Linked DNA regions of Macaca mulatta. The protein of the gene in region 1 binds, or shares a complex with, the protein of each later gene. Links are inferred from orthologs where the notes say so. Each region holds a gene or a part of one and is shown in the gene's direction. Other genes may lie near its edges.

Evidence for each region.
Region 2: LSM6 (region 1) and LSM3 share a complex: the UniProt entries of both Homo sapiens proteins name them as parts of the precatalytic spliceosome. The link is inferred for Macaca mulatta from reciprocal best matches to the Homo sapiens genes LSM6 and LSM3.
Region 3: LSM6 (region 1) and USP39 share a complex: the UniProt entries of both Homo sapiens proteins name them as parts of the U4/U6-U5 tri-snRNP complex. The link is inferred for Macaca mulatta from reciprocal best matches to the Homo sapiens genes LSM6 and USP39.
Region 4: LSM6 (region 1) and PPIH share a complex: the UniProt entries of both Homo sapiens proteins name them as parts of the U4/U6-U5 tri-snRNP complex. The link is inferred for Macaca mulatta from reciprocal best matches to the Homo sapiens genes LSM6 and PPIH.
Region 5: LSM6 (region 1) and SNRNP40 share a complex: the UniProt entries of both Homo sapiens proteins name them as parts of the U4/U6-U5 tri-snRNP complex. The link is inferred for Macaca mulatta from reciprocal best matches to the Homo sapiens genes LSM6 and SNRNP40.
Region 6: LSM6 (region 1) and LSM7 share a complex: the UniProt entries of both Homo sapiens proteins name them as parts of the precatalytic spliceosome. The link is inferred for Macaca mulatta from reciprocal best matches to the Homo sapiens genes LSM6 and LSM7.
Region 7: LSM6 (region 1) and TXNL4A share a complex: the UniProt entries of both Homo sapiens proteins name them as parts of the precatalytic spliceosome. The link is inferred for Macaca mulatta from reciprocal best matches to the Homo sapiens genes LSM6 and TXNL4A.

Annotation. Positions count from the first base shown.
Region 1 is NC_133410.1:154,723,705-154,728,025, forward strand, and holds the start of LSM6 (U6 snRNA-associated Sm-like protein LSm6), read left to right. Parts: upstream 1-1,434; 5' UTR 1,435-1,494; intron 1,495-2,816; exon of another isoform or gene 2,817-2,920; intron 2,921-4,321. UniProt on the Homo sapiens protein: Plays a role in pre-mRNA splicing as component of the U4/U6-U5 tri-snRNP complex that is involved in spliceosome assembly, and as component of the precatalytic spliceosome (spliceosome B complex).
Region 2 is NC_133407.1:152,980,354-152,984,675, forward strand, and holds the start of LSM3 (U6 snRNA-associated Sm-like protein LSm3), read left to right. Parts: upstream 1-1,501; 5' UTR 1,502-1,554; coding exon 1,555-1,575; intron 1,576-4,142; coding exon 4,143-4,253; intron 4,254-4,322. Other genes in the region: XPC (DNA repair protein complementing XP-C cells), read right to left, coding at 1,166-1,265. UniProt on the Homo sapiens protein: Plays a role in pre-mRNA splicing as component of the U4/U6-U5 tri-snRNP complex that is involved in spliceosome assembly, and as component of the precatalytic spliceosome (spliceosome B complex).
Region 3 is NC_133418.1:38,747,955-38,751,554, reverse strand, and holds part of USP39 (ubiquitin carboxyl-terminal hydrolase 39), read left to right. Parts: intron 1-3,005; coding exon 3,006-3,141; intron 3,142-3,600.
Region 4 is NC_133406.1:198,100,165-198,104,219, reverse strand, and holds the start of PPIH (peptidyl-prolyl cis-trans isomerase H), read left to right. Parts: upstream 1-1,215; 5' UTR 1,216-1,256; coding exon 1,257-1,322; intron 1,323-1,654; coding exon 1,655-1,719; intron 1,720-2,037; coding exon 2,038-2,061; exon of another isoform or gene 2,062-2,154; coding exon of another isoform or gene 2,155-2,180; intron 2,181-2,330; coding exon 2,331-2,375; intron 2,376-3,690; coding exon 3,691-3,733; intron 3,734-4,055. UniProt on the Homo sapiens protein: PPIase that catalyzes the cis-trans isomerization of proline imidic peptide bonds in oligopeptides and may therefore assist protein folding. Participates in pre-mRNA splicing.
Region 5 is NC_133406.1:209,573,241-209,576,840, forward strand, and holds part of SNRNP40 (U5 small nuclear ribonucleoprotein 40 kDa protein), read left to right. Parts: intron 1-722; coding exon 723-888; intron 889-3,600. UniProt on the Homo sapiens protein: Required for pre-mRNA splicing as component of the activated spliceosome. Component of the U5 small nuclear ribonucleoprotein (snRNP) complex and the U4/U6-U5 tri-snRNP complex, building blocks of the spliceosome.
Region 6 is NC_133424.1:3,071,096-3,075,400, reverse strand, and holds the end of LSM7 (U6 snRNA-associated Sm-like protein LSm7), read left to right. Parts: intron 1-222; exon of another isoform or gene 223-381; intron 382-785; coding exon 786-857; intron 858-3,455; coding exon 3,456-3,598; 3' UTR 3,599-3,747; downstream 3,748-4,305. UniProt on the Homo sapiens protein: Plays a role in pre-mRNA splicing as component of the U4/U6-U5 tri-snRNP complex that is involved in spliceosome assembly, and as component of the precatalytic spliceosome (spliceosome B complex).
Region 7 is NC_133423.1:1,023,793-1,028,174, forward strand, and holds the start of TXNL4A (thioredoxin-like protein 4A), read left to right. Parts: upstream 1-1,501; 5' UTR 1,502-1,555; coding exon 1,556-1,708; intron 1,709-3,204; exon of another isoform or gene 3,205-3,317; coding exon of another isoform or gene 3,318-3,353; intron 3,354-4,382. UniProt on the Homo sapiens protein: Plays a role in pre-mRNA splicing as component of the U5 snRNP and U4/U6-U5 tri-snRNP complexes that are involved in spliceosome assembly, and as component of the precatalytic spliceosome (spliceosome B complex).

The DNA of each region.
Region 1 (4,321 bases):
TTTGGGAACAGCTACAGTTTTTATAAACTTGTTAGCTCATGAAATAATTCAGGATGCCCACCCCGTGTGTCAAACTGGGCCCTTACCCAGCTACTGCCCTTGGAGAAGGCTGCAGCTGCTCTGCAGATGAACTAGGCCCTTAAAACTCCTCATGGCTCCCTACCCACCACGCTAGTGTTAACAGCTCAATTAGGGCTCTGTAGGAAAGGGAAAGAAGTTTGAATCAAAATTTTATTTTATTTTTTTTTTAATAATTTAAACAACCAGTAAGGAATGTGCAATTTGATGTCTTGCAAAGAAAGTTTTTAGGAACAGGCCTTTTTATCCTGTTATGTTTGTACTTTGCAAGTAATTATTTGATTTAAACAGTACTTTTCTTAAAATTTTTATTTATATTATATTTTATATTGCAAGAACTTCAAATACAGTCCTCTCAATAAATCAGTAACTGTTTGGTCTTTACCCAAACTGAGCTTTTATAGAAGGATATAAGGAAGTCTCTATTCTTTACCAAATCACATCCACTTGTTTTCTGTCCCTGATATCAATCAAAAGTTCATTTCTTCTGCCTTTAGCCAAAAGAAGGTTACAAGGGAGGAATTCTTTATCTCAGAAAAAAATTCTGCATCTTAGATTTTATAACACCTAATGGGGTTAAGGATCTGTGTTGGAAGATCTTATTGCTTTGTGTGTAGCGTTACAAACCATAAATAAAATTAAAGTAAGTTTTCAGCTGATGAGAGTAAAGGAATCAAGTCTTGGGGTAACAGTTCTCTTTTTTCCCCCTTCCAATCCCATTAATAGAAAGAGTGTTGAGAATTCATGCAAAATTCCAAACCAAGTTCCCATAGTAGCACTTAAATAATGTCTGCACACCATTTCCAATTGGAACAAGTTTTTAATGTAACACAATTAATGTCATTATAATTCGGAGTTACTTGAGTGATTTTAATTATTTTTTAATCAACATTGCCATGGAAACAGTCTCTTGCTAAAATGGCTTAAGTCTTCACACATTTAATAAATATCCAGAGGTAGATTTAAAGACTTGAGGTGTTTTATTTATTTATTTGCTTTAAACTATTCAAGGACGTTTCTGGGTACACAGTGCCGTTACTTAAACAGTAAATTCCAGTTTCCTATGACTTCAAGTTATTTTTTACACTTCTGCAAATAAATCCTGGACAAAAGATCACTTCTAGTTTCCTGGATTTTTGTTTTTGTTTTATATTATATTTGTTTTGTATTCAGATTTCTGTCAGAGGAACTCCAGTGCACCAATTTTGCTACTAGACAAAACAGGATTCTCGGATTTGCGCGCTTCGGCGCTGACAGGCTTTTCGGCCCCAGCGGGCTGCCGTAGCAGAGAAGAGCAGTGATTGGCCGAGGCAGAAAAGTGCCGCTGCCTCGGCGGTTTCGCTTTTGGCTGCGATCATCCGCGGAGGCCGGACTCGTGGGGCGCCTGGAGTGAGGGTTCTGGATCCCGCCCGCGAGGTGAGCCGCACGGCTGCGCGGGCCGATGACGGGGCCGGGCGTAGCCCCGGGTTCGACGCCCCAGTGTTCAGTCGCGCTGTGGAGCGGCGGCTGCAGCGGCCCTAGGCCGGGCGAGGCAGCCCCGGAAAGGGCCTGAGGGGAACGGGCTGGGGCTCCGGGAAGGGGCCGCTGAGTGGCAGCTTTCCGCGAAATGCCGCGTCCAAGCTCTCCGCTCACGGAATGGCCGGAGAGGTCTGATAGTGGGCGCCGGGACCGCCCTCAGCGAGGTGCTTAGACTGCGCAGAGAGTAGCGGCACCGTCCCGGCTCCCACCGAGTTGGCGTCCGAGACCAGTTGAGGTTGTTGAAGTTCCCCAGGGAGCCCCGAGGCTAATCCCAGGATTCGGCGGGAAAGCGGATCCCGAACCCAGGCCTAGGCTTCGCCAGTCTTCCAGGGCTTCAGGGAATTGCTAACCCTTCCCTACATCGGGGTGGCTGCGCCTGACCACAGGAATTAAGGACTCGACTCGCCTGTCTTACTGAGTTGTCAGGCCTAGGAACCCAATTGTATGGTCTTAAGTCCTATTGCCCGAGGTTTTCTGTGCGTTCGCGTGTCCGCGCGCGTGCATAGCAGGCGTTTTTAAGATGTGTAGCATTAGGATGAAGCGGATTACCCTACCCCACTGCTCTTAGTAATATGTGACTATTGTAGAAAATTGCAAACATGGAAGACTTTAGTGAAGAAATAGTATTCACAACCCTTTCACCTACAATCTTTTTCTCCTGTGTATGCTAGCTTCTACTTGAGCTAGGAGTGTACATGTTTAATCACTTAACAGTATAGTTTACCACTTCCATTTAAAAACTCTTCCTAAATATTATTCTAGTTTTGTATCTTCTTTTGATTGACTGTCCCTCATTGTGGATCGCAATGTAGGTCCCATAAATTATTCAGTCATTTCCCGATTGTGGGATATTATAGATTGTTTTTGAATTTTTGAATCTCTTAGCACCCCAGATAATACTTTGATAAACCTTTTCCCCCCTATTTTTTAGATTATTTCCTTGGACTAGATTCTCAGAAGTGAAATTATCAGATTAGATGCTTTCATCTGTAAGGCCTTTTTTAGGCCTTCGTACACATTGCTGCAGTGTTTTCCAAAAAAGTTTTTCAGGTGTTTGGCAATTTTACTTGCTTGAATATTGTACAGAAATCTTGAGAGGCTTATGTTTGTGGGTGTGTGTGTGTGTGTGTGTGTGTCACTGGAGTTAATGCGTTACTACCTGAATGTTAGGGCAGGAAGAGACTTAAGTGGTCATCTGGCATAACTCCCTTATTTTGCAGATGAGGAACCTGGGGCCATGAGAAGTGAAATGATGAGTTATCCAAGTCACACAGCTAATTAAGTAGCAGAGCTGGGATTAGAACTCAGGTTTCCTGCCTCCCAAGTGAGTACCCTGTGCTGCATCAGGCAGTCTCTCACTGAACTGTGGCATAGTAGATATTAGAATTTAAAAATTTGTTTACATCACCTGGATTATTCTCTCCTTTTAAAAGTGTACTAACAGATTAATGATCGGAGGGACCTGTAACACTGAGAAATTGGAAAGTGATTATTTTCATGGCTAAGACTAGAAATCCATTATTTAGAATGGCAACCCCTTCAAGATTTTGACAGTTGTTTTCAGGTTCCCTTTATGTTAGAATAAAACATCCCTGATTAATTATAATCTACACTCCATCATTTGGTTAGAATGTAGCTTTTGGTTATCATTTGCTGTACTTTGGAGATTTCTTTAAAACTCCTCACTTTAAAACCAAAGAACAATGTTGTTGGTGGTTTTTTTTTTTAGGGCTTATAGCGGAGATTCTCAGCTTCCATTGACATTTTGGGCTGGACAGTCCTTTGTTGTGGAGGGCGGTCCTGTTGTAAAATGTTTAGCAACATCCCTGGTCTCTACCCACTAGTATAGCAGTAGCACCACCTTCCTCAGTCTTGACAGTTCAGTGTCCCCAGATACTTCCAAATGTCCCTGAGCAGGGTGGGGTGGGGTTGGGGAAACTGCCCCTAGTTGAGAACCATTTGCTTAAATAAATTATCTGGAGAACTTCATAAAATGTAAAATACAGTGCTTTTACCTGAGTAGACTTCAGGAATCTGCATTTTAACAAGCATCTCTAGATTTGGAAACAGCTGGTTCTTGAATGACAGAAAGGGTTGTTTTCTCCGTCTTTGGTGGTCCTAATAGAGATTACTTGGTTAGTATTTGTTGAAGTACGTGCATGATCCTACTAGTCACTGTATCCATAGTTTGGGTTGGTGGGGGCTGGACAGGGATTTTGCTTGGCACTGGCCTTGAATGTCTCTTCCACAGACTTGGGCAGTGTGCTTAGGTACCAGGGATACCAAGTGAGTAGGATATTTCCCCTGTCCCCAAGGAGCTTAAAACTCACCATGGGAGACCTGTCAGCAAATGGAAAAATTACAAAGCAGCCTGATAAGGACCATGACCGAGAGTGGAAAGAGGTGCTCTGAGTGGACTCACTTCGCCTTTGGGAGAGAGGGAGAGAAGTAGCGCCTGCTGCTCAGGAAGGAGGGATTGGTATGAAGCCTTCACAAGACAGCGAGGCACTCCACTGTGTCAGAAGGGAGGACTTGGAGAGCTGTTCTTCTCCGTGTCTGATCGCCTCCTCAGACACTGATCTGTTAGTCTAGTGCTGCAGTTACTTGGATTGTAATGTTTCCTTGCAAGTTTTTGCTTTTCAAATTTTTTTCACCCTAAACTGTAAATATGCTAGGAGTAGGTAAAAACTTACAGGTAAACATTGCCAAGTAATAAGGATTTTCA
Region 2 (4,322 bases), on another chromosome or scaffold:
TTACATGGAAACACTAGGCCATTTGATACAAGGTACTTGAGCATCACAGGTTTTAGTATCCACGGGGTATCTGGGAAGGACTACCTTAGTTTGCTCAAGGAATGTCTGACTTGAGATTTGAAGAAATCATACCTGGCAAAAGCCATGGTGGGGGGTCACTCTAGGCCGAAGGAATATCAAAGGAAAAGGCTCAAGAAATAACTTGGCATATTTGAGGAAGAGAAAGGAGGCCAATGAGGAGGGTATCTGGCAAGGAAACAAGTGGTAGGAGAAACAGGAGAGGTAGCAAGAGCCAAAACACGTAGCATCTTGCAGGCCAGGATAAGACAACTGGATTTTAAACTAAGAGCAATGGAAAACCAAGGAGAGTTTAAAGCAGGAGCATGGCATGATTTTTTTTTTTTTTTTTAAAGATTATTTGCGTTGCTGGATGCAGAGCTGGGAGGCCAGTCAAGAGGAAACTGCAGTCACTCAACTGAAAGGTGATGGTGACTTGGACAGGGGTTGTGGCCATGGAAATGAAGAGAAGTGGACAAATTTGAAATACAGTCTGAGGCTGAACTGACTGGACTTGCTGACGGGACTGGATGTGTGCACATAAGAAAAAGGTGGACTTTGTTTTATAACAAGTATTGGGACTGGAAAAACGGAGGAAAGCATAGATTTGAAGGGGAAGACCATGAGCTCTGCACTGTCCACGACAAATGTAAGAAGCCTATCCAATATCCACGAGGGGAAGTCAGGTGGGATCCCACTGTGGAACTCTGGGCGAGACTCAGCTGAAGTTATCATTCGGGAGTCAGCACACTGCATCACTCTACGTCCTGGTCCGTCCGTCCGTTTTCCTGGGACACAAATAACTGCCTTCTCCGCGTTCAACCCTGAACATCTGCGCTGTATCCTCTGGACAACGGGGAGCGGGAAAGAAGCTACGCAGGAGCTTGGGTCGGGCGAGGCTCACGGGAAGCCGCTCTGGGTGCAGAGGACAAAGGCGCAGGGACAGCGGGGAGGGCCGGCCGCGGCCTGCCGTGCTGCCCCCACTGCGCGGAACGCGCGCAGCAACCTCCTCCCGGCCTCCGCGTCTGGACTCCCGCCGCCCCTGCCTCTGGGCCTCCTCCGCCCACCGGCAGAGTCTCCCGCGAAGCCCGCTGGGCCACGCTCTCACCCTCCTCCTCCTCACGCCGGGTCTTGCTCTTGGCCTTGGACTTCTGGCTGCGCGTTTCGCGTCCCCGCGGCTCCCCGCCGGCCGCGCGCTTCCGAGCCATATTGCTTGTCGGGGAAAAATCCACTTCGCGAGTGACGCACCAGGCCGCGATGCGTTAGAACGCAGGCCCCGCCCCGAGGCGGGCGCGTCTGGCCACGCCCCTTCGTTGGAGGCCTAGTCACGCCCCCAAAGGAAGCTCCGCCCCATACCCGTGGCCACTAAAAAACCGCGGGAAGCAGGCAAGAGCACAGCAGGTTTCTATTTCCGGTGTATTGTAGCATCACGTTTCCGGAGCTCGGCGTTGCTCTTGTGTTCTCGCGAGAGGCGGGAAAGGGCGCAGGGTTTGAAACATGGCGGACGACGTAGACCAGGTGAGTGAATTTTAAGGCGGTGGCTCGGCGCCGCTTCTTGTACTAAACTGCTTTTTCCAAACGCAGGAAAAATGGCCAGTCGCGCCTCTTCTTTCCAAGTCACACGGCCTAATCCGCCCCATCCTTTCCGTAAACACCCCTGTCCGAATTTTGCTGCAGGCCCTGAGGTCTTTTCCGTTAGAAGGCCACCTGATGACTATTCATCACACTCTTCGCTTTGTTTTTTTAAATCTGTAAATTATTATGCGTGCCTACCTCACGGAGCTGTCAGGATTCCAATAGAAAGCCAGATAATAAAGTTAGGAGTTGTTATTACTGAGCACAACAATTATTTACTCATTCAGCAGAGAGAGTGAACATCAGCTTTGTATGGTTAGACACTGTTCTAAGAGCCAGGGACACTGACATCGATATATAAGTGATCCTTGCCATGACTTGGAGCTTATATTCGCGAGGAGAACAGATAAATATAAATATGTAAGATTTATAGGAACTGTGATGTGCTATGAAGGAAACAAGGAACTGGTATGCAGAATAACAGATGGTCCTAGAAGCTTTTTCACCTGGTCTTTTTCTTCCTCAAATATCTTTGGAGATCATGCTACAACTTAAACTTTCTACTGAAATCTCACCTCCTCAGAGAGGACTTCTGCCCAAATAGCACTCCCCCTACTCTGCTTACCCTGCCTCATTTTTCTTCATAGAACGTTATTTTTTCATATTAAATGTATGCATCTTTGTTTAATGTGTATCTCTCCTGACTAGAATGTAAGTGCCATAACAGTAGGCATTTTGTTTTGTTCATTCTTTTGTCCTTGGGGTTTAGAACAGTGCTGGAAATACTCAACAAATATTTGAGTGAATGAGTTAGATGATCAGAGGAGGCCTCTTTTAAAAGCCAATGTATAAAGCTACAGGATGAAAAAGAACAGAAAGTGGGCATCCCAGACAGAGGCTTAGGTAGCAGTAGAGCTCTGTCATGTGCATATTCTTACAGTATTATAATTATTCATATGCCTATCCACATTAGAATGAGCTCCTTGAGGGTGGAGATTGTGACTTCTGTATCATTGTAATCTAACAGTTGGTTATCTGATCCTTTAACAAACACCTGTTGAACTGAGGGACATAGGGACCAGTTGAGTTAGGTTATTTTTTTTTCTCTCATCGGGCCTTTTGAATCTTTAGCGCCTGTTACGAATTCAGTTACCTTCCTCCACTGGCCTTGTGTACTTACTAAAGAAGCTCTCCTTGAATCATCTAACTCTTTAATGGCTGCAACCCTCCCTTCCATGTGGGTGACCCCAAGTCATCCTAGCCCTGACCTCTAAAACCAGTGTTTCCAGCAGTTCTTTAATAATATAATATTAGTAGGAATCTTTTCTTTTCTTTTTTTTTTTTTGGATGGAGTCTCACTCTATCGCCCAGGCTGGAGTGCAGTGGCGTGATCTCAGTTCACTGCAACCTCTGCCTCCTGGTTCAAGCGATTCTCCTGTCTCAGCCTCCCAAGTAGCTGGGACTACAGGCACGTGCCAGCACGCCTGGCTAATTTTTGTATTTTTAGTAGAGACGGGGTTCACCATGTTGGCCAGGCTGGTCTCAAACTCCTAACCTCAGGTGATCTGCCTTTCTCAGCCTCCCAAAGTGCTGGAATTCAGGCCTGAGCCACCACGCCCAGCCAAAAGGAACCGTTTCTAAGTATTAATATTTTCTGCTTTCCTGGCACTGTTTTAAATGCATTAACTAGTTTCATCCTCATAAGAATCCAGAAGGAAGGTTGTGGCTTTCTCAATTACAAATGAAGAATCTGAGAATTACAGATGGCATGATTTTTAATCTCAGTTCATAAGTGTCAGGTCACAGCCAGGAGTTGAACCCAGACTGCCTGACTCCAAAGTCAGTGCTTGCTTGCTTGTTGGCACCATCTTGGCTCACTGCAACCTCCACCTCCCAGGCTCAGGCAATCCTCCCACCTCAGCCTCGGAGTAGCTGGGACTACAGGCACATGCCACCATGCCCGGCTAAGCCAGTGCTTTGAACCAGTGTTCTATTCTGGCTACTAAATATTCATCTTACTGGCCAGTTGGCAGCCTAACCTCAACCTGTGCTGAATTCATAATCTTCCCATAAACCTACACCTCTACTTGGCATTCTGACTAGTATATGGTAGGCATTAAGTGAGTGTTTTTCCTATGATTACATAATATTTGAGATAAAGCTAAAGTTCCTAAGACCCTATACCCTGAAATCGGGTCAGGCAGTTTGGATTTTGAGGGAACAAAGTATAGTCATGATTATTTTGCTGTGTAACTCCTTCTTATGTATGCGTGTTTTAATCTACATTTATATAGCACATACTATGTGAAAAGTTCTGTTCTAAGCCTTCATATATGTCACTTAAGCCTCATAAAAACAGTATTAGGTAGACACTATTATCTCCATTTTACAGATTAGGAGACTGAGGCAGAAAAAGGTTAAATAACTTGCACATGGTCATACAGCATAGCAGTGATTTAAGCACTACTTTATCTCTAGTACTATATTACTAAACCTGTTTCTGTTATCAGCAACAAACTACCAACACTGTAGAGGAGCCCCTGGATCTTATCAGGCTCAGCCTAGATGAGCGAATTTATGTGAAGATGAGAAATGACCGAGAGCTTCGAGGCAGATTACATGTGAGTAAATTTATCAAGTTACCTTGAAATCAGATTCCTTCCCACCCCCACTCCCTTGAAATGTAAAAC
Region 3 (3,600 bases), on another chromosome or scaffold:
GTGCTCAAAAAAAAAAGAAAGAAAGAAAGAAGTAGTGTCAGTTTTAAATTCTACGTAGCGTTTAAGAAGGTAGTATCTAAAATTAAGAGGCCCGAGTTTTAGGCTGCCTTAGTGGTGGGCCCTCAGACCCATAGTTTGCATGTTTTCTGGGTATGTTCTCTCAAAGATAAAATGAGCAGCTTGGAGTAGATGGGCCTGAGCCCTCGGGGTTTGTCCAGGTGTAACATCTTGTTATAGTATTGCTAGGACTCTTAGAACCATGGAGGGTGAGGAGAGAGAACATTTGCCGTTGAGAATTACAGGGGAATTTTCTCTTTTCTCTTTTCCCCCACTTTTCTCCACTAACATCTTGTTTGTGAGACAGTTGAATTAAATAGGGAGACATGGAGGTTTGTTCTCTGCCTCCTTGAGTAGGATGGCAGAGCTGCTTTCTTTGAAAGTCTGTGCATCAGGGTTTTATTTCAGCACTAGCCTCTTGTGAATTACCAGTCATCTGTCTGTTCCTGGTAGGTAGGGGCAGTCTTGATTCCAAGGGCAGCTCCAGAGGGAGGAAGACTGTGTATCAATGATACTTCCTGCTCAGTTGCCACAGAAATTTCCTTGTCCCATTGTTTTCTTTTATGGGCCTAGAGTAGGCCCAGTATAAAAGTTTGTCCTTCAGAAAGCTTACTTCAGAGAAGTTAAGAGAAGACTTGGTTCTTAACTAGGCAGTCTTTTAGAGAACATCAAATTGTGACTAATTTTGGAAACTTGCACTTTTAAATATTTTATGTGCTGTAATTACTTCGAGTAATACGATTCTGGATCATTTCATCGTCCATACTTCTTGAAAAGGATCCTTTTCATACCTGTCTTCTCCTGTGATTTATTCATAACACATCCTATTTTTGTCAGAGTTATCAGACTTACAGTGATTAGGCACCCTCTGCTTATTTGGAGACAGATTTTTGAGGGCAGGTTTAAAGTTTCACTTTCAGGTAATTAGCCATTCTCTTAACTGGTCTGTTGCTGTGGCTGGGAGATGAGTATAGTTTGCTCTTTCAGGCTGGGTGCAGTGGCTCACATCTGTAATGTCACCACTTTGGGAGGCCGAGGTGGGAGGTTTGCTTGAGCTCAAGAGTTTGAGACCAGCCTGGACAATATAGCAAGATCTCGTCTCTACTAAAAAAAAAAAAAAATGAATAGTTTGCTCCTTTTCCTGTTTACTAAAACAAAATGATTAAACGTAGTATTTCTCTTTTGCCACATGGACAGTTTTGGTTCAGTCATGAAATCTTGAGTATAAAGACTTCTCCGGGCTGGGCGGGTGGCTCACGCCTGTAATCCCAGCACTTTGGGAGGCCGAGGTGGGTGGATCATGAAGTCAGGAGATCGAGACCATCCTGGCTAACACAGTGAAACCCCGTCTCTACTAAAAATACAAAAAGTAGCCAGGCGTGGTGGTGGGCACCTGTAGTCCCAGGTACTGGGGTGGCTGAGGCAGGAGAATGGCGAGAACCCAGGAGATGGCGCTTGCAGTGAGCCGAGATAGCACCATTGCACTCCAGCCTGGGCGACAGAGTGAGACTCTGTCTCAAAAAAAAAAAAAAAAAGACTTCTCTGATACTCATTTAGACAAGTCTAGTCAGCTTTTTTTCAAGCTGAAGAGAAAATGAGAAGTCAGTTTTTGGCAGCAGGAAGGCAGGTTGGCTATCTAGAGCTCACATGGACTGAGGACTCATACCTCCCATTTTTTTTTTTTGGAGATGGAGTCTCGCTCTATTGCCCAGGCTGGAGTGCAGTGGCGTGATCTCGCTTCACTGCAACCTCTGCCTCCCAGGTTCAAGCAATTCTCCTGCCTCAGCCTCCTGAGTGGGTGGGACTACAGGTGCATGCCGCCACACCCAGCTAATTTTTTTTTTGTACTTTAGTAGAGGCAGGGTTTCACCATGTTGCCCAGGCTGGTTTCGAACTCCTAAGCTCAGGCAGTCTGCCCGCCTTGGCCTCCCAAAGTGTTGGGATTACAGGCATGAGCCACTGCACCTGGCCTCTATTTTCTTAACGGTAAATGTTTATTGCAGTCTGACTGCATCATATATGGGACACTGTCAGTCTGTAGAAACAAATAGCTGTCACCAATACATAGGAAGCTACATATAATAATTACAACAAAGTTGTATGTTTGTTTATTACCACATGGTTTACATTTTAAACTCTGTAATTTGAAAAGTTAGTAGATTCACAGTCTGACTTCAAAGGGAGATCTATAACTGGACGTGACCACCATTAGCTGTTTCTTGTGAACTCTTCAGTAATAACATGGTTTTGTTTCATGTAATGAGTTGTAGCACATCAAACAACTTTTATGATGTAATATCTTTTTAATTTTACTTTGTATTGTTTAAGTTTTTATAAATATTTGTAGGCTCCAAAATGATATATTTTCCTAAAATTATGTGTTTAAAATAGTCTCTTAATAATCTTGTTAACTGTCTATATGTTTTCCTTTTTAACTGTTTGAAAGTTCTTCTTTTTGGGGGTTTTGTGAGACAGGGTCTCACTGTCGCCATGGCTGGAGTGCAATAGTGTGGTCCTGGCTCACTTTAGCCGTAATCTCCTGGACTCAAGTGATCCTCTCACCTCAGCCTCCTGAGTAGCTAGGACCACAGGCATGTACCACCATGTCTGGCTGATTTTTTTTTTTTTTTGTAGGGGTCGCACTACATTGCCCAGGCTGGTCTTGAACTCCTGGGCTCAAGCAGTCCTCCTACCTTGACCTCTCAAAGTGTTGGGATTATAGGTATAAGCCACTTCCTGTCATTTATTTATTTATTTATTTTTTTAGTCATGTGGGAAGCTGTGTAACCCTGTCATTCATTTTGGCATATTTTGTGAATTCCAACACAACTGGACCTTCTTGACTCTGCAGGCCTACCGAGAGCCTTTGTGGTCTGTTTGTGTAGGACAGCTTCCTTAGCTGCACAGCCTTTGTCTGATTATTCCGGCTTTATTTTCACCATTAACAGCAATGTGGATCTCAGAGAATACTTGTCTGAAGAAGTACAAGCAGTACACAAGAATACCACCTATGACCTCATTGCCAACATCGTGCATGATGGCAAGCCCTCCGAGGGCTCCTACCGGATCCATGTGCTTCATCATGTGAGTGGCTGCTGACCTAGTCTCATGGCACAGAGTGGCAAAAACAGGTGTTTCTTTGGCGTCTCAGAGGGCAGCTCCCTTCAGTTTGTCCTTGCTTGGCCTTGGCTTTGGGATTTTGCAAGTAATAGTGCTGTCAGTAGTTAGTTTAAGGCAGTGGTTCTCAATTTTAGCTACACATTGGACTCACCTTGGGAGCTTTTCTTTTTTTTTTTTTTTTTTTTTGAGACAGTCTCGCTCTGTAGCCCAGGCTGGAGTGCAGTGGTGTGATATTGGCTCACTGCAACCTCCGCCTCCTGGGTTCAAGCAGTTCTCTGCTGTAGCCTCCCAAATAGCTGGGATTATGGGATTACAGGTGCCCGTCACCATACCCGGCTAATTTTTGTATTTTTAGTGGAGATGGGGTTTCACCATTTGGCCAGGCTGGTCTTGAACTCCTGACCTTGTGATCCACCTGCCTTT
Region 4 (4,055 bases), on another chromosome or scaffold:
TGAGTCTTGCCCAAGTTCCCCTTCTTTCACTAAATTCATTGAATCTATTATATTTACCTACTATGTGCTATTCAGTAGGAGACATTGCAGCTACAGCTGCGAACAGGACTGAGAGAGTCTCTACTTTCATGGAGTTTATATGCTATTAGGGAGGAAGATGTATGTGTGTGTGGCAGGAAATGAGGTGCAGACACATACCATACAAATGTGAAATGGGGGGTGGCATGAAGAAAACAAACCAGTGATCTGAGTGACCAAGGGCTACTTTAGATTAGGTCTAATGTTGCCTCTGAGGAGGTAACATCTGGGGTGAGCCCTGAACTACAAGGAGCATTACTTCCCACACACATAGCCCAACCAAACCCCACCATCACCCCGCCAACCCACATTAAGATCTGGAAGGAATATTTCAGACAGAAGAAACAGCTATTACAAGGCCTTAAAGAAAGGAGGGATCTCAGTGACCTGGAGGAGCAGACAGGTCAGAGCACAGTAACTAAGGGCAAGTGGTACAAGATGAGGTCAGGTAGGTAATAGCCAGATTAATGCACTGGAGGGCTTCCTATGTACAGAATTGGATTTTATTCTAAATATAGGAAGCCAGGAGTTATTTTAAAAATAAATAGGAATCACAAGAGGTATTTTAAAAATAAAAAATAAAAAACTCTAGTTACTCTGTGGGAAACGAATTGGAAATGACCAAACTGGGAGCTTGTGGCAGAACGGAAACATAATCTATTGTCCTGACTTAGAGGAAGGGACAAATATTTACTTAGCAAGCCTTTACGTGCCAAGCTGTTCTAAACGCTGAGGATGAACAAACCAGAGATCCTGCCTTCACGGTGTTCACAGACTAGCGGGCAGAAGACAGACACAGCACGTGTGGCGGTGTAGAGGGCTTGGTTGCAAGAGCCGATAAGGAGGACCCTGGCGACTGCCTAGTCCAAAAGCCCTAGCTAGAGCAAGATCAACTTGTACTGCCCTTAGTACAGCCACGTGAGTGGGGTGACCATCGACCTTAACCAAAAAGATGTCAAGGCTTTCCTCCTCCTCACTCCCGCGTCCCCCGTCTCAGGGAGAGTCTCCCAGCTAGACCCCAGCAGCCTCAGCACACACGGCACGGGGCGACAGCTTCCGGGGGCGGGGCCCGGTCTCTCTCGGCGTCCACCGCGCCTGCTCCCCGGACGAAACCCGCGGACAGGGCTTTAGGTTCGCCGGAATCCCACGCTCCCGACTTCTGCTTCCGGGTCGGAGCCATGGCGGTGGCAAATTCAAGTCCTGTTAACCCCGTGGTGTTCTTTGATGTCAGCATTGGCGGTCAGGTGAGATCCAGGACGCTACCCACACCTGCGCCGAAGGGAAACTGCTCGGGGCTAGCTAGGCAGGCAGAACTCACCCAGAGAGAGCGGACTCGGGAAGCCAGCCAGAAAGCGAAATTGCACCCGAACCTACCGACCTGCAGGGCGGGGAGAAATGAGGAGAAGTCTCCCCAATCCTAGCGCCCCGCTTCTGGAGGAACTGGGCGGTTAGACCAGAGAGGCGGAGGTGGGTGATACCGAGCGGCAGGGTGGTGGGTCAGCCCATCCTGCCCCCAGCTCCGTGAAGCCCTCATGGTCTTGGACTGGGCCTTCTGACAGTCTCCCGCTGATTGCAGGAAGTTGGCCGCATGAAGATCGAGCTCTTTGCAGACGTTGTGCCTAAGACGGCCGAGAACTTTAGGTAAGGACGTGCTCCAGTTCCGCTGGATTAGCTGAGGCAGAAGTCGGGCTCTAGTCAGCCGCCTGAATAGCCTGTCTACCTCTGTCCGTCCGCTCACTGCTCTTGAGACCTGATTCCTCCGTGCATTGCTCTGTCTGGTTGCCGTTTGGATTGTTCCCGTGTTAATTTACGTTGTTAGTCTGTACGTCTCCGTGTTTGGACGTCTGGCTGGCCGATTGGTGGACTTGCTGGCTCCATTGTTTATTCTTTCCCGTCTTTAGAGGCGGTCACGACTGTGATGTCATAGTGATTGAATTGTTCACTTTTTGTCCCTTTCAGGCAGTTCTGCACCGGAGAATTCAGGTCAGTTTCAGATGTGTTTGACTTCTTTGCCTGCTCCAGAAGGGTGTTCTGGGGCTGCGGTGAGGGTATCGGTGAACCAGCTGCTGGCCTTGAATGATTGCTGGTGACAGTGATAGAAGGTAATGCCCCAAGGGTCTGTCCCTAGTTTATTTGCCTTCTTTATGTCTGTCAACCATCTTTAGGAGAGTCCTTTTGGCTCCAGTGCATGGTAAACTGGAAAGGCCTTGTGCTACCTGCTATCACTCCAAGTCTCTTTCTTTTTGTTATAGAAAAGATGGGGTTCCAATAGGATACAAAGGAAGCACCTTCCACAGGTAAGGCTTTTGGCAAGCCATCCTAGAGTCTTTCAGAAATATTTCCTGGGGGATTAGGCTCTTTAGAGGAAAATAAAACCAGAGGTAATTCTTACATTTCTTAAGAAGAAATGTTTTTGTGGACTCAATAACTGAAGATTTATTAAATATTCTAACTCTACTTATACTCTCCCACTTCTTATGTCTTTAAAACAGAAACTACTCATCTTTACAATATCCTGTCTTTTTCATGCACTTGTTTGTGCAAATGCAGATTTTTAAAGAAGTACACTTGTAATCCTAAAGTGCATATAATATATCCTGCTGGTTGCTATTTATAACTAATTCCTAAAATGATCATATATGATTGTCCAAGGATAATCATATTTCCTGGGGAGTGGAGTATGGCAACACTTAGTCTCATTTCAATATAGAATCTTTCTCATGGCCTCACTGTGGTTAGTAACAATGTTAGCACATAATTATATCACAGCTTTAGAACTGTGGGTCTCTAATCCCCAGTAAGACTCCTGTGAAGTGGTATGTGTGATCTGCATTCTACAGAGGAGGAAACTGAGGATAACAAAGGTTAAGGACCCTCCCTAGGGGTAATAGCTAACAATTGTTAAGCCCTTACATGTGTAGCAGTACCTTTCACATAAATTCTCTGTAGTTCTTTGCCCCAAATTTACATCAAATCCTTGATCTGCCTTTTGCTTTGGCAAGTAATGTGGTCATTCTTCCTGCAGGCTTTCAGCCCCTTCTTCTTGTTACTGTTCAGGTACCAGATCATGCACTTGATCAACTCTAACATGCCCTAATTTATAACTAAAATCCTTTTTTATGGTTAATTATCCTTTCAGCTTAATCATTCCAGGAAAAGAATAATCTTCTTTTTTTGTTGTTTTGGTTTTTGGTTTTTGGTTTTTTTTTGAGACAGAGTCCCGCTCTGTCACCCAGGCTAGAGTGCAGTGGCATGATCTTGGCTCACTGCAACCTCCGCCTTCTGGGTTCAAGCAATTCTTTTGCCTCAGCCTCCCAAGTAGCCGGGAATACAGGCATGTGCCACCACGACTGGCTAATTTTTGTATTTTTAGTAGAGATGGGGTTTTGCCATGTTGGCCAGGCTGGTCTCAAACTCCTGGCCTCATGTGATCTGCCTGCCTCGGCCTCCCAAACTGCTGGGATTACAGGCGTGAGTCACCGCACCCAGCTAAGAATGGTGATTTTATAATAGCCAAAGTTATAGTGTATTTTGAAATCAATGTTAATCTAATACAATAATAACAAAGTCTCCATAAAATCTTCTCTCAGTATTCTTTGCTCTCTGTTTCAGGGTCATAAAGGATTTCATGATTCAGGGTGGAGATTTTGTTAATGTAAGTACTATTCCTTTTCTATCAAAGACCTGTAGTTTTAGTTTTTATTATCGTTGCAATTGCTGTTTTTACTACAGAGACCCAGTCTTAAGGCTTGAGAACAATAGCCAGGTTTGATGGGGGTGTTGGAGAGAATGGTGATGGGGAAGTTCTTGGAAGTGGCTAGGTACAACTGACTGTAGATAACAGACTTTAGCACTTTGATTGAGGCATTAACTTCCATGGTCCAAATCTCAGCCTTTTTGAGCCAGAAATTGGACTTTTTAAGAATACCCTGTAGATGATCTATGATAGGTTCACACTAATTGGTCATATGAAACTT
Region 5 (3,600 bases), on another chromosome or scaffold:
GAGGCTGGGCGTGGTTGCTTACGCCTGTAACCCTATCACTGTAGGAGGCTGAGACAGGAAGATTGCTTGAGCCCAGTTGAAGACCAGCCTGGGCAACATAGTGAGACCTTGCCTCTACAAATGATTTTTAAAAATTAGCTGGGCATAGTGGCACCGACCTGTGGTCTCAGCTACTCAGGAGGCTGAATTGGGAGGATCACTTGAGCCCAGGAGGTCGAGGCTACAGTGAGCCATGATTCCAGCCTGGGTGACAGAGCAAGATCTCATCTCAAAATAAAAAAAAAAAGAAAGAAAGAAATTGTCCTCAGAGACAAAAGAAAAAGTTTGGTAAAGAGAGAAGATTGGAGTAACTCAGCTGTCGGGTCCAGAGTACCACAGTCTCTCTGATCTCTGCAGCACCAGGGAGTTATTAAACATTTCCAAGTGAGAGGGTGTCTTGTGTTTAAAATGTTACCTATCACAAAAGTGGAAAAGACAGAGCGAACTGCTACATTAGATGTATGTCATGGGGACTCAAAGAAGGGTCCCCCTTTTTTAAACTTCACAGGGTCAGATCTTATATCTGGACCTGAAGCACAAATAGGATTTTGGTAGAGTGAGGCATTTCAGCATCATGGGCAAACTGGCAAATCTTGAAAAATTTGGCACCTTTTGGCAAGTAGGAAAGATAGATTGTTACTGTTTATCTTCACTTCTTTTGTGTTCTTTCTCTTACTTTCTAGTATGCTCTTCTCAGCATCCACAGATAAAACTGTGGCTGTGTGGGATAGTGAAACAGGCGAGAGGGTTAAAAGGCTAAAGGGACATACCTCCTTTGTGAATTCCTGTTATCCAGCCAGGAGAGGCCCTCAGCTTGTCTGCACTGGCAGTGACGATGGCACAGTTAAGGTGGGTATTGTCTGTCTGTGTTCCAGTTTCTGAGGTGATGTAGTGTGAACCTTATCTTGCCTTTCCACTTATACTCTACCTTCCTCTGCAAAACTTAATTTTAGCAGTCATTTCCCATAACAGACACTTGAAATTTTTCCCCATTTAAAATAAAACATTTAATACGTGTTTTAATTACCCTACAGAATAATAATAGACCCATAGAATAAATTGTTACTCGAAATAGGCCTGGCGCGGTGTCTCACACCTGTAATCCCAGCACTTCGGGAGGCCGAGGCAAGCGAATCATGAGGTCAGGAGGTCGAGACCATCCTGGCTAACATGGTGAAACCCCGTCTCTACTAAAAATACAAAAAATAAGCCAGGCGCGATGGCGGGCGCCTGTAGTCCCAGCTACTCGGAAGACTGAGGCAGGAGAATGGTGTGAACCCCGGAGGCCGAACTTGCAGTGAGCCGAGATTGCACCACTGCATTCCAGCGTGAGCGACAGAGCGAGACTCCGTCTCAAAAAAAAAAGAACAGCGACAGTAATATGCGTGTCTTTTCAAGGCTGTTGTGAGTATCCCCACCAACAGGGAGGCAGCAAAAAAAGAAAAAAAAAAAAGGCTGTTGTGAGATTACAGACAATATATAAAAAGTTCAGTGAATGGTTTTAGTATAGCACAAGATGGGAACTTAAGCATCATTTAGTCAGATGGTTTCCAGCCTCTCTTTGTATGGTCATCACCTGAAGAACCTGTTAAAAATACCCAAAGAATCTAGTTCAGTGGATCTGCAATGGGAATCAGATATTTTAATGTGTCCTTCAAGTGATTCAGTGTAGCCAGTCTGACATTCTGGGAGCCACTGATCTCATTGAGCATCCTCATTTTATAAATAAGGAAACTGAGACCTAGAAATAATAACTTATCTCAGAGGCACACAAGGACACAGTACATCATAGTACCAACCATTTGATTATTTCTTTGACACGAATTTTGGACTCTGGTTGACATTTTAATTATTAAACAGTGAGGGACTTCAAAAGAGTACATCTGGGAGGCTGCAGCCCCATACTTATTGCTTTTTAAATGAATTAATGAATTTGCTTTTTTTTTTTCTTTGAGACAGGGTCTCGCTCTGTCGCCCAGGCTGGAGTACAGTGGCACGATCTTGGCTCACTGTAGCCTCTACCTCCCAGGTTCAAGTGATTCCCCAGCCTCAGCCTCTTGAGTAGCTGGGATTATAGGTGTGCACCACCATACCTGCCTAATTTTTGTATTTTCAGTAGAGATAGGGTTTCACCATATTGCCCAGGCTCATCTCGAACTCCTGAGTCAGAGCAATCACCTGCCTAGGTCTCCCAAAGTGCTGAGATTACAGGTATAAGCCACCACACCCAGCCAAATTGCTTTTTTTTTTTTTTTTTTTTTTTCCTTTGGAGATGGAGTCTTGCTCTGTCGACCAGTACAGTGGCGCGATCTCGGCTCACTGCAACTTCTGCTTCCCGGGTTCAAGCAGTTCCCCTTCCTCAGCCTCCCTAGTAGCTGGGACTACAGGCACCACACCACGCCCGGCTAATTTTTGTATTTTTAGTAGGGATGGGTTCACCATATTGGCCAGGCTGGTCTCGAACTCCTCACCTTGTGATCTGCCGCCCCACCCTCTCCCCGGCCTCCCAAAGTGCTGGGATTACAGGTGTGAGCCACGACACTTGGCTGAGATGTTTTTCTACTGAGTGATTTTCTTATACCTAATCACTTGGGCCCCTTGATGGTTGCATGGGAGGAGAGTCTGTGGTTTAAGATTGGTTTCTAAACCAGAGCTCTTACCTAGATGTCACTGTAGTTGGAGAGTCTTAACAGTAGCTGATTTGCTAATTGTCATTTCAGAAGATAGTAAGAGGTGGAAATGCCCGAGTGAATTTTGTTAACATTATTATTGAGGGCCTGCTATAATAAACATCTAGGAACTATTTAGGGAGTAGAAAAAGAGTGTATGTCCTTCCTGTCTTCCTTCTTTTGGTTTTTTGCTTTTCTTCTGCCTTAATTAAACATGATTTGGAATAGTTATTTTTACCGTGTTACTCAAGTTAATACTTTTTTTAATGAGCAATATGTCACATCACCTAAAGATGACTGCTTTTTAACCAGCTCCTATTTTTAATGTCAGTATATTTAAGACATCATTTAACAGCTTTTTGCAATGTACTTTTCAGTTACTTGTGAAGTTGGAATGCTTTGTGTTACTGTTTTTTTTTGTTACTAGGTTGCAAGTACAGGAATTGAATAACTTCAGTTTAAAAGAAAGAAAAGTCATGTTGCTTTTTACATGTCAGAGTGCTTAACAGAAAGCAAAGGTTTCCAACAGCACTTGCATTTTTAGTCTAAAAGTAGCGGTCTGGGCATTATTCATACAGATCGTTTTCAAACTTCTTATCAAGTACATTCTTCTAATAAAGTTAAGTGAAATACTGTGTGTATATGTGTATGTACTCATATATATATATGTATATATATATTTCCCTTTCATGAGCAGTTCAGTCCTAAAGCCAGTTATGTAGGCCAAAGCAGGGAAGGTGCTCTGGTTAGAGATGGGCCAAGGTGGCTCAGAGTGGAGTGTCAGAGCACAAGTGTGGTAAGGAGAGCATCCACACAGGGCAGGGCCGTACATTGTAGGGGGAGTAGTTAGAGAGTGAGGAAGGCATCCATACAACACAGGGTAGGTAACCAG
Region 6 (4,305 bases), on another chromosome or scaffold:
ACTGAGGGACCCAGCACGGGTCAGGCAGCGCAGTCACCACCGCTGTCCCAGCAGAGCACTCCGTCTCCCCTAGAGGAAGCCCTGTCCCCATCAGCTGTCACTGCCTGTCGCCTCTCCGGCACCCACACATCCCCTCCCTGTCTCTGTGGATTGGCCTGTCCTGGACCTTTCATAGAAACGGGATCACACGCTGCGCGGCCTTCTGTGGCTGGCGTCTCTCACCGAGCGTGGCGTCCTCAGGCGCGTCCTCAGGCACATCCGCACCGCGGCCTGCGCCAGCCTCGCTCCTCTTCCCGGCTGGTGGTTCCACCGCATGCATGTGCCGCGGCCTGTTTTGCTACTGTTTTGGAGCGGAGAATTGTTTTTATGACTTTTAAATATCTGGAAAGGGATCAAAAGAAGACTGTCTCATGATGTGGAAGTGATACGAAATTCCCGTTTCAGTGCCTGTGTGTCGAGCTGACTGGCCACGGTTCAGCCACACGTGGACTCATCACCGAAGCTGCTTCCACCCAGGCAGCCCGAGCCAGCAGCTGTGACCGGCACCCTGTGGCCCACACGGCCAGAAGTGTTTGTCCTCTAGCCCCCCGCAGACACAGTCGGCTGCCCATGGTGGGGGTCACTCTGGAGGCGCCTGTCACCAGCCCCTCCCGGGAGCCCTCCCCCACCCTCAGTCCTCCATCCCTGAAGCAGTGAGCCCCATGCCTGGGCCACGCTGGGGCAGGCCGTGTACCCAAGATGGATCTCATGCCTTCTCATTTCTCTCCCCCGGTGATTTCTCCAAGCCAGTGGAATCCTGAAGGGCTTCGACCCACTCCTCAACCTTGTGCTGGACGGCACCATTGAGTACATGCGAGGTGAGTGGGGCGGTGGCTGAGGCGGGCAGCGGGATGAGGAGGGCAGTGGGGTGAGGGGGCAGCAGGGCAAGGGAGGCGGCCATGGAGCTGCCTGCTGCCTCTTCCTCCCTGAAACCCACAAAACCTCACTCTGAGGCACCAACGTGAAGCCTTGTGTTGGCCGATGGACGGGCTGAGCGCTCACCGGTCCTGGACGTCCTCACAAAGCTGGAAACTCCATTGTTGTGGGGCCTGGAGAGACGGGGAAGCTTCCCCACTGGTCTCTACATACTGACAGGGCACTTAAAATGCTCGCAGCACAGTTAGAGGACAGGCTTTTTAAATGTTGTATTATTTCAGTTTTTGTTAAACTGGTGTCGCGAGGGGCCGGGCACGGTGGCTCACACCTGTAATCCCAGCTGCTCGGGAGGCTGAGGCAGGAGAATCGCTTGAACCCGGGAGGCGGAAGCTGCAGTGAGCCAAGATGGTGCAACTGCACTCCAGCCTGAGAAACAGAGTAAGACTCCGTCTCCAAAAAAAAGAGATAAGCTGAGGTCTCACTGTGTTGCCCAGGCTGGTCTCAAACTCCTGGGCTCACGCCATCCCCCTGCTTCAGCCTCCCAAAGTGCTGGGGTTCCAGGTGTGAGCTGTGGCACCCAGCCGAGAGCAGCCTTGCTGTGGGAGAGCGAGCGTGCTGTGGGACCCCTCTCGGGCCCCTCTCCTCTTCTGCCTTGTTAATCCCCACTATGAACGCAGGGCCCCCATCCCCTCCCCAGAGAACACTCCCTCATTTCCCTGCCCCTGCTCGCTCTCCTCCCCAGTGAGGCCGCCAGGTCCTCAGACTCTCCCCGCTAGAAGATCCTGCTGCAAGTCCCCAGCCCGGCCCAGGCATCGGGGGGAGGCCAGGACTTAGAAAGAGACAGTCTTACCCCTCGGACCCATTGATACTGACACAAGATTTATTCTTGGAGCTGGCCACGGTGGCTCATGCCTGTAATCCCTGCACTTTGGGAGGCCGGGACAGGAGGATCACTTGAGCCCAGGAATTTGAGACCAACCTGGGCAACATACTGGGACCCTGTCTCTACAAAAAAACAAAAAAAAAATGAATTAGCCAGGCATGACGGTGCATGTGCCTATGGCCCCAGCTACTCGGGAGGCGAAGGCAGGAGGATTGCTTGAGCCCAGGAGGTTGGGGCTGTGAGCTGGGATGACGCTACTGCACTCCAGCCTGAGGGACAGAGCAAGACCTGGTCTCTAAAACAAAAATGTTAAAAACCTGGGCCCCGTGGTTCTCCCATGCCCCCACCAGCACACGACCACAGTAGTGAGGAGTTTTCATTGCCGTCAGCCTCTTCAGAGCTTGTCTTGGGCTTGCTGGTACTTCCCTGGGGTGCCAGCCCACATGATCCCCACGTGGGTCCCACCCACATGAACAGCCTCTTTTTTTTTTTTTTTTTTTTTTGAGACAGTATCTCACTGTCACCAGGCTGGAGTGCAGTGGCGCCATCTCAGCTCACTGTAATCTCCGCCTCCCGGGTTCAAGCGATTCTCCTGCCTCAGCCTCCCGAGTAGATGGACTACAGGCGCCTGCCACCACACTCAGCTAATTTGTTGTATTTTTAGTAGAGGCCAAGTTTCACCATGTTGGCCAGGATGGTCTCAATTTCTTGACCTCGTGATCTGCCCACCTCAGCCTCTCAAAGTGCTGGGATTATAGGCGTGAGCCACTGCACCCAGCCCAGCCGCTTTTTTTTTTTTTTTCTTTCTGAGACGGAGTCTAGCTCTGTCGCCCAGGCTGGAGTGCAGTGGCCGGATCTCAGCTCACTGCAAGCTCCGCCTCCTGGGTTTACACCATTCTCCTGCCTCAGCCTCCCGAGTAACTGGGACTACAGGCTCCCGCCACCTCGCCTGGGTGTTTTTTTGTATTTTTTAGTAGAGATGGGGTTTCACCGTGTTAGCCAGGATGGTCTCAATCTCCTGACCTCGTGATCCGCCCGTCTCGGCCTCCCAAAGTGCTGGGATTACAGGCTTGAGCCACTGCGCCCGGCCAATTTTTTTGTATTTTTAGTAGAGATGGGGTTTCACCGTGTTAGCCAGGATGGTCTTGAATCTCCTGACCTCGTGACCTACCCGCCTCGGCCTCCCAAAGTGCTGGGATTACAGGCGTGAGCCACCGCACCCAGGCCCCAGCCTCTTATAGGGTGAAAATTGGCCCCCTAGGGTTCCAGGAACCCTGCAGAGACCAGGAGGCCCGGGGTGCCTGTATTCTGGCTGGCCATCTGATAACCTGGTCCCCAGCCCTGGTGCCTGGGCTCCAGTGAGCTCCAAGACCCAGGGTAGCCGGCTGTCGCTCAGGCCTCCCTGTTCCTGTGGTTTGTGGAGTGAGGGCAGGCTGTGGCTGCTGTCTGTGGAGCTGTCGCTGGTCTCTAGGGGCTGTGGGTCTGAGCCATGGGAGCCGGGGACCTGCCCCGCAGAGTGCACCCCCTCTGGGGTCCCCACATGCTCATGGCACCCGCAGGGTGCAGGTGGGGAGGGCGGAGCGAGGGTCTTGTGTCGGTGGGAATTCTCAGAGGCCTCCTGGAGCTCCCTCAGCCCTCTCTGTCTGCTCCTTCCCAGACCCTGACGACCAGTACAAGCTCACGGAGGACACCCGGCAGCTAGGCCTCGTGGTGTGCCGGGGCACGTCTGTGGTGCTGATCTGCCCGCAGGACGGCATGGAGGCCATCCCCAACCCCTTCATCCAGCAGCAGGACGCGTAGCCGGGCCAGGGCTGCAGGACAGGCCGGAGCAGCTTGGTTCCCCACAGACTTGGCCGCCGTTCCCACCACGGTGCCACCTGCTGGAACGGAAGTGCTTTCCTTTTTGTATAGGTTGAATTTTTGTTTTCTTAATAAAACTGCAAACCTCATTGTGTTTGAGCCCCAGAATCTTGCTTTTCCCTTGACCTTCTGAGGAAACCTGTATTCTTGGAGATTGGACTCAGACCCTGGAGCTCATCAAATACCAGCCATGGTCCTTCCTGGGGGTGAGGGTTCACAGGTGACCAAGGCAGGTACAGGCAAGGCCGGGACAGGCGAGTCAGGAGCCTCAGTCCGATGAGGGGCTTGTGGAACCCCAGGCCAACCCCTGAGACAGCAGGAGCCGGGTGCATCAGGAGGGTGGGTGCATCAGGAGGGTGGGTGCATCAGGAGGGTGGGTGCATCAGGAGGGTGGGTGCATCAGGAGGGTGGGTGCATCAGGAGGGTGGGTGCATCAGGAGGGTGGGGTGCATCAGGAGGGTGGGGTGCATCAGGAGGGTGGGTGCATCAGGAGGGTGGGTGCATCAGGAGGGTGGGTGCATCAGGAGGGTGGGGTGTATCAGGAGGGTGGGTGCATCAGGAGGGTGGGGTGTATCAGGAGGGTGGGGTGTATCAGGAGGGGGGGTGTATCAGGAGGGTGGGTGTATCAGGAGGGTGGGTGCATCAGG
Region 7 (4,382 bases), on another chromosome or scaffold:
CCCGGGTTCAAGCGATTCTCCTGCCTCAGCCTCCCGAGTAGCTGGGATTATAGGCGCGCGGCACCACGCCCGGGTAATTTTTTTGTATTTTTAGTAGAGACGGGGTTTCACCATGTTGGTCAGACTGGTCTTAAACTCCCGACCACAGGCGATCCACCGGCCTCGGCTTCCCAAAGTGCCGGGATTACAGGCCTGAGCCACCGCGCCCGGGCATGATTTGTTGTCAATTTGTCATCCAAAGGACCACCAGGATGGCTGGATAGTAGACAAGAGTTTTACTGTCAATGTCAGTTTGCAAACCAGGGGGAGTCTCTAACATGAACCCAAAGTGCTCTCTCAGAAGAACAGAGATTAGAGGTTTTATTTTAAAAAGAGAAATATTATTTCTCTTGGAGAAAGTTCATAGGCACCAGTAAGGGTCTGGGGAGCGAAGCCGGGGGAGCCAGATCAGTCCTGGAGGTGCAAGTTATGCTGAAGCTATGCAATAAAACTGGCTTCAGGTCGGGCGCGGTGGCTTCCTCCAGTAATTTCAGCGCTTTGGGAGGCCGAAGCGGGCGGATCACTTGAGGTCAGGGGTTCGAAACCAGCCTGGCCAACATGGTTAAACCCCGTCTCTACTAAGTACAAAAAAACTAGCCGGGCTGGCGCCTGTAGTCCCAGCTTACGGGGAGGCTGAGGCAGGAGAAGCGCTTGAACCCGGGAGGCGGGGGCTGCAGTGGGCCGAGATCACGCCACTGCACTCCAGCCTGCGCGACAGAACGAGACAACGTCTCAAAAAAAATTTTTTTTCTTTATAAAAAGACAAAAACTCTGGTTTCGGGTTACAACAGGCAGCTCAGCAGCCGGCCTGACGGTGACATTCCTCAAGGACGGCCTGCCCAGTGCTTCCCCCCACCCCGCTGCTCGGCTCTGCCGTGGCTGGGTATGGCAACAACGACACATTTTTATGGTCAAGTTTCACAAATGACACACACGAACCGTCTCGCTAACACACAGCACAAACGATGACCCGAAACAGACACCAGAAAGGAAAAAAACGAGCCGCAGTGCCGGGCATGCCGGGCCTTTCTGAAGACGTCCCCATCCGTGGCTGGAGGACAGCCCGGGCGGCGGCGGGCGGCCTCGGGGCGGGTGCGTCGGGGCAGGGCACGGCGAGCCCGGGGCTTCTCAGGACCACCAGGCCGCCTGGACGCTGGGGAGGAACCCCCACTCCGACGCCGGCTAGGAGGGCACCAACCGCGCTCCACCGTGGCCAGGTCGCCGCCGCTCCCGCCGGCCAACGACAAGCTAGCGCGGCGTCTGTACGCGCGTGACGTCAGCACGCACGGCGCCAGCCCGTGCGCATGACGTCAGCACGCACGGCGTCGGTGCGTGCGCGCCCAGAGGTTCCGCCCGGCGGCAGTGCCAGCGGAGCTTGCGGGTGTGGGTGGGACCGGGTTTCGGCTGTGGGCCCGGGGGCGGCGGGGGCCGCGGAGTGAGGGGCCGGCTGAGCCCACCACCTCGCTGGGCCCTCCCTGGCGCCCGGCCTCGGGCGGCGGCGAGCGCGCGGGTCGCCATGTCGTACATGCTCCCGCACCTGCACAACGGCTGGCAGGTGGACCAGGCCATTCTCTCCGAGGAGGACCGCGTGGTCGTCATCCGCTTCGGCCACGACTGGGACCCCACCTGCATGAAGATGGACGAGGTCCTATACAGCATCGCCGAGAAGGTAGCGCGCCGGGCCCTCCCGCCCTGCTGGCTGTGCTTCCGCAGCGGCCCCGCGCCTCTGCCCCGCCGGCCTCGCCTGGGGGCGCGAGCCGTTCCCCGAGGAGGGGCCGCGGCGCGGTTGTCCGGGCGATTCCTTCCCGCGCTGCGGGCGAGCGCTCTCGGGGACTGTGCCGGCGTTTCGCGCCTTTTTCTGCAGGGAGCTCCTGTAGTTGTTCACGTTTTAAAGGGTTTATGATCCCCCTCCCCTCGAAGGAATTCATTATTTCTGTTGGTAAGGCGTTTTTCCCAATCTTACAGTGCAGTGAACAAAGTAACACTTGCAGGTTTTGAGAGCGCAGATCCTTAATTTAAAAGGATGCCCTTTTCTGGTGCCCTGTTTGTTTGTTGTATGTGTAAAGCAGAACTTTCATGTTAATAGCATAAGAAATCCTGTTTTTCTGTTGGTGTTTTCTTCCACCGCGCTTTTTGTAAGTCATGTGATTTATAGCTTAGAGTGATTAAGATGCAGAAAACATCGGGAGAAAATAGAACTATGCTTTGTTGGAACTAGTTTTCTGAATTTCTAATATTAGTACATTGAGTGGCCTTGGCACTTACTTGCTGACAATAAAAGTTGTGGGACACTATAACCAGGTTTCATTCTTTTTCTGTGGTTCCTCACAGCAATTTTAGGATGGCGTTTATTTAGGTTTTGCAGCTGTAGCAATAGGGCAAAGGGCACAAATACTAGGGTGTTAATAAAATATTTGCCATATTAATTTTCCGTAAGTAATTTGAGCGGTTATTCATTTTGATGAAGAGTAAAAGTAACATTGAAGCTATCTTTTCTTTCACAGATGCTAAAGTAGGCTGGGTTAAAATAACTCCTTTGAGTAAAGAGTAACAGATATAAAGACATTTTATATTGAGGAAAGGAAAGACTGTCTGGCCTGCCATTTATTAATTCTTGCTATTTCTTATTTAGTAGGAGAGGTGTGATGTTAGGAACTGTTGTTATATTTTAGTTATTACAAGAATCTCTTGGAGTGCTTACTAAAATGCATCTGTGATTCTGAGTCTATGGGTGTGGGGTGAAGTCCAGCAATGGCTTTTTAAAGAAGCCCCTCAGGGAATTCTGATGTGACCTGACCTTGAACCACACACTCAGAAACCCTTCCATGGGGGTCAGGGACAGAGGCGGAGTGCTTTATTACCAGCCATCTCCCAGCCTCTTCCTCTTGGACAGCAGGACACTGAGGACTTGAGGAGCTGCCTAGGGAATCAGGAGAGCAGCAGTTCTCTCACACTGGGGCTTCTGCCAGCCAGGGATTAGAGATGATGAGTGAGGCAGTGCCAGCACATCAGCTTTTCATTGCTTGACTTGTAGTGGACAAGGGCAGATACTGGAAATCCAGCGAAGAATTGACGAAGAGCAGTTTCCCAATAAGTAAATCACTGCTTGTAAATCACTGACTTTGAGTTACGAGTTCTAGAATCTTTCACTGTTCTACCTTGCAGGTGGTGGCATAAACATCAGCTGGTGTTCAGATCCTGCTGCCGGCAGCTCGAGGCTAGGATGGCTGGCGATGTGAGGGCCTTTGTCTCATCACATCCAGGCAGAGCTCAGCAAGATGCTCTTAGCTAGGAAACAGATTTTATGTGTTAATGTAAGTGTTAGGGTCTTTGCCAGATTTGCTCTTTTTTTCCAATTCCTTTATGTCCGATTTCTTTGTTATTACAGAATGAATCACTGTATCACTAGTGGACACACACTTAAGGACAGTTGAAATGGGCTCACTTTGGGGTATTTTTTTTTTTTTTTTGGTCTTTTAAAATAGTTTGATTTTTGTTTCTGTCCAAAAATTTGGATTGCTTTATTAATAAACTTTTAATGCAAATATTATAGTATAATTATTAAAAGCGCAAACCTAGGCCAGGCACGGTGGTTCATATCTGTAATCCCAGCACTTTGGTTGGGAGGCTAGTGTAGGCAGATCACTTGAGCCCAGGAATTCGAGACCAGCCTGGACAATATGGTGAAACCCGTTCTCTACTAAAAGTACAAATGCCAGACGTGGTGGCACATGCCTGTAGTCCCAGCTACTTGGGAGGCTGAGGTGGGAGAATCACCTGAGCCCGGGAAGTCAAGGCTGCAGTGAGCCATGATTATACCACTGAACTCCAGCCTGGGCAACAGGAGTGAGACCCTGTCTCCAAAAATAAGTGCAAACCTGAAATGCATTAAAAGACTATTCGTGTTTTATTTTCTTCTTAGTATATGGGCAAAATATGACTTTCTAATTCTGGAAGCTCTTTTGGGGAAACTCAACAGAAATTTTTGAAATGTAAGATTTTAGTATAAAGAACAATATAACTATTTAAAAATTTCCCTGTGCAGAAATGGCAGATAATGGAGAATCTTCCTTATCTTGTTAAGAGTCCTGTCGATGTCCCAGCTGTTTTAAAGTGAGTAACAGTTGCAGATGTTCGGCTGGACTTGATACGATTTTTTCCTGGATGTGTTGTATTGATCTGCTGCTTCCACAAGGCCCACTGGCCTCATGCTGGGTTAGAGCTGAGCTGTGAACTTCAGGAAGAAAGTTAGTCTGGAAACAGAGCTACACTTAAATATTTCACAGGTGCCTACAGTTTGCTAATAAGTGTGGGGCAATTCATTTGATAAAGTGATAATAATA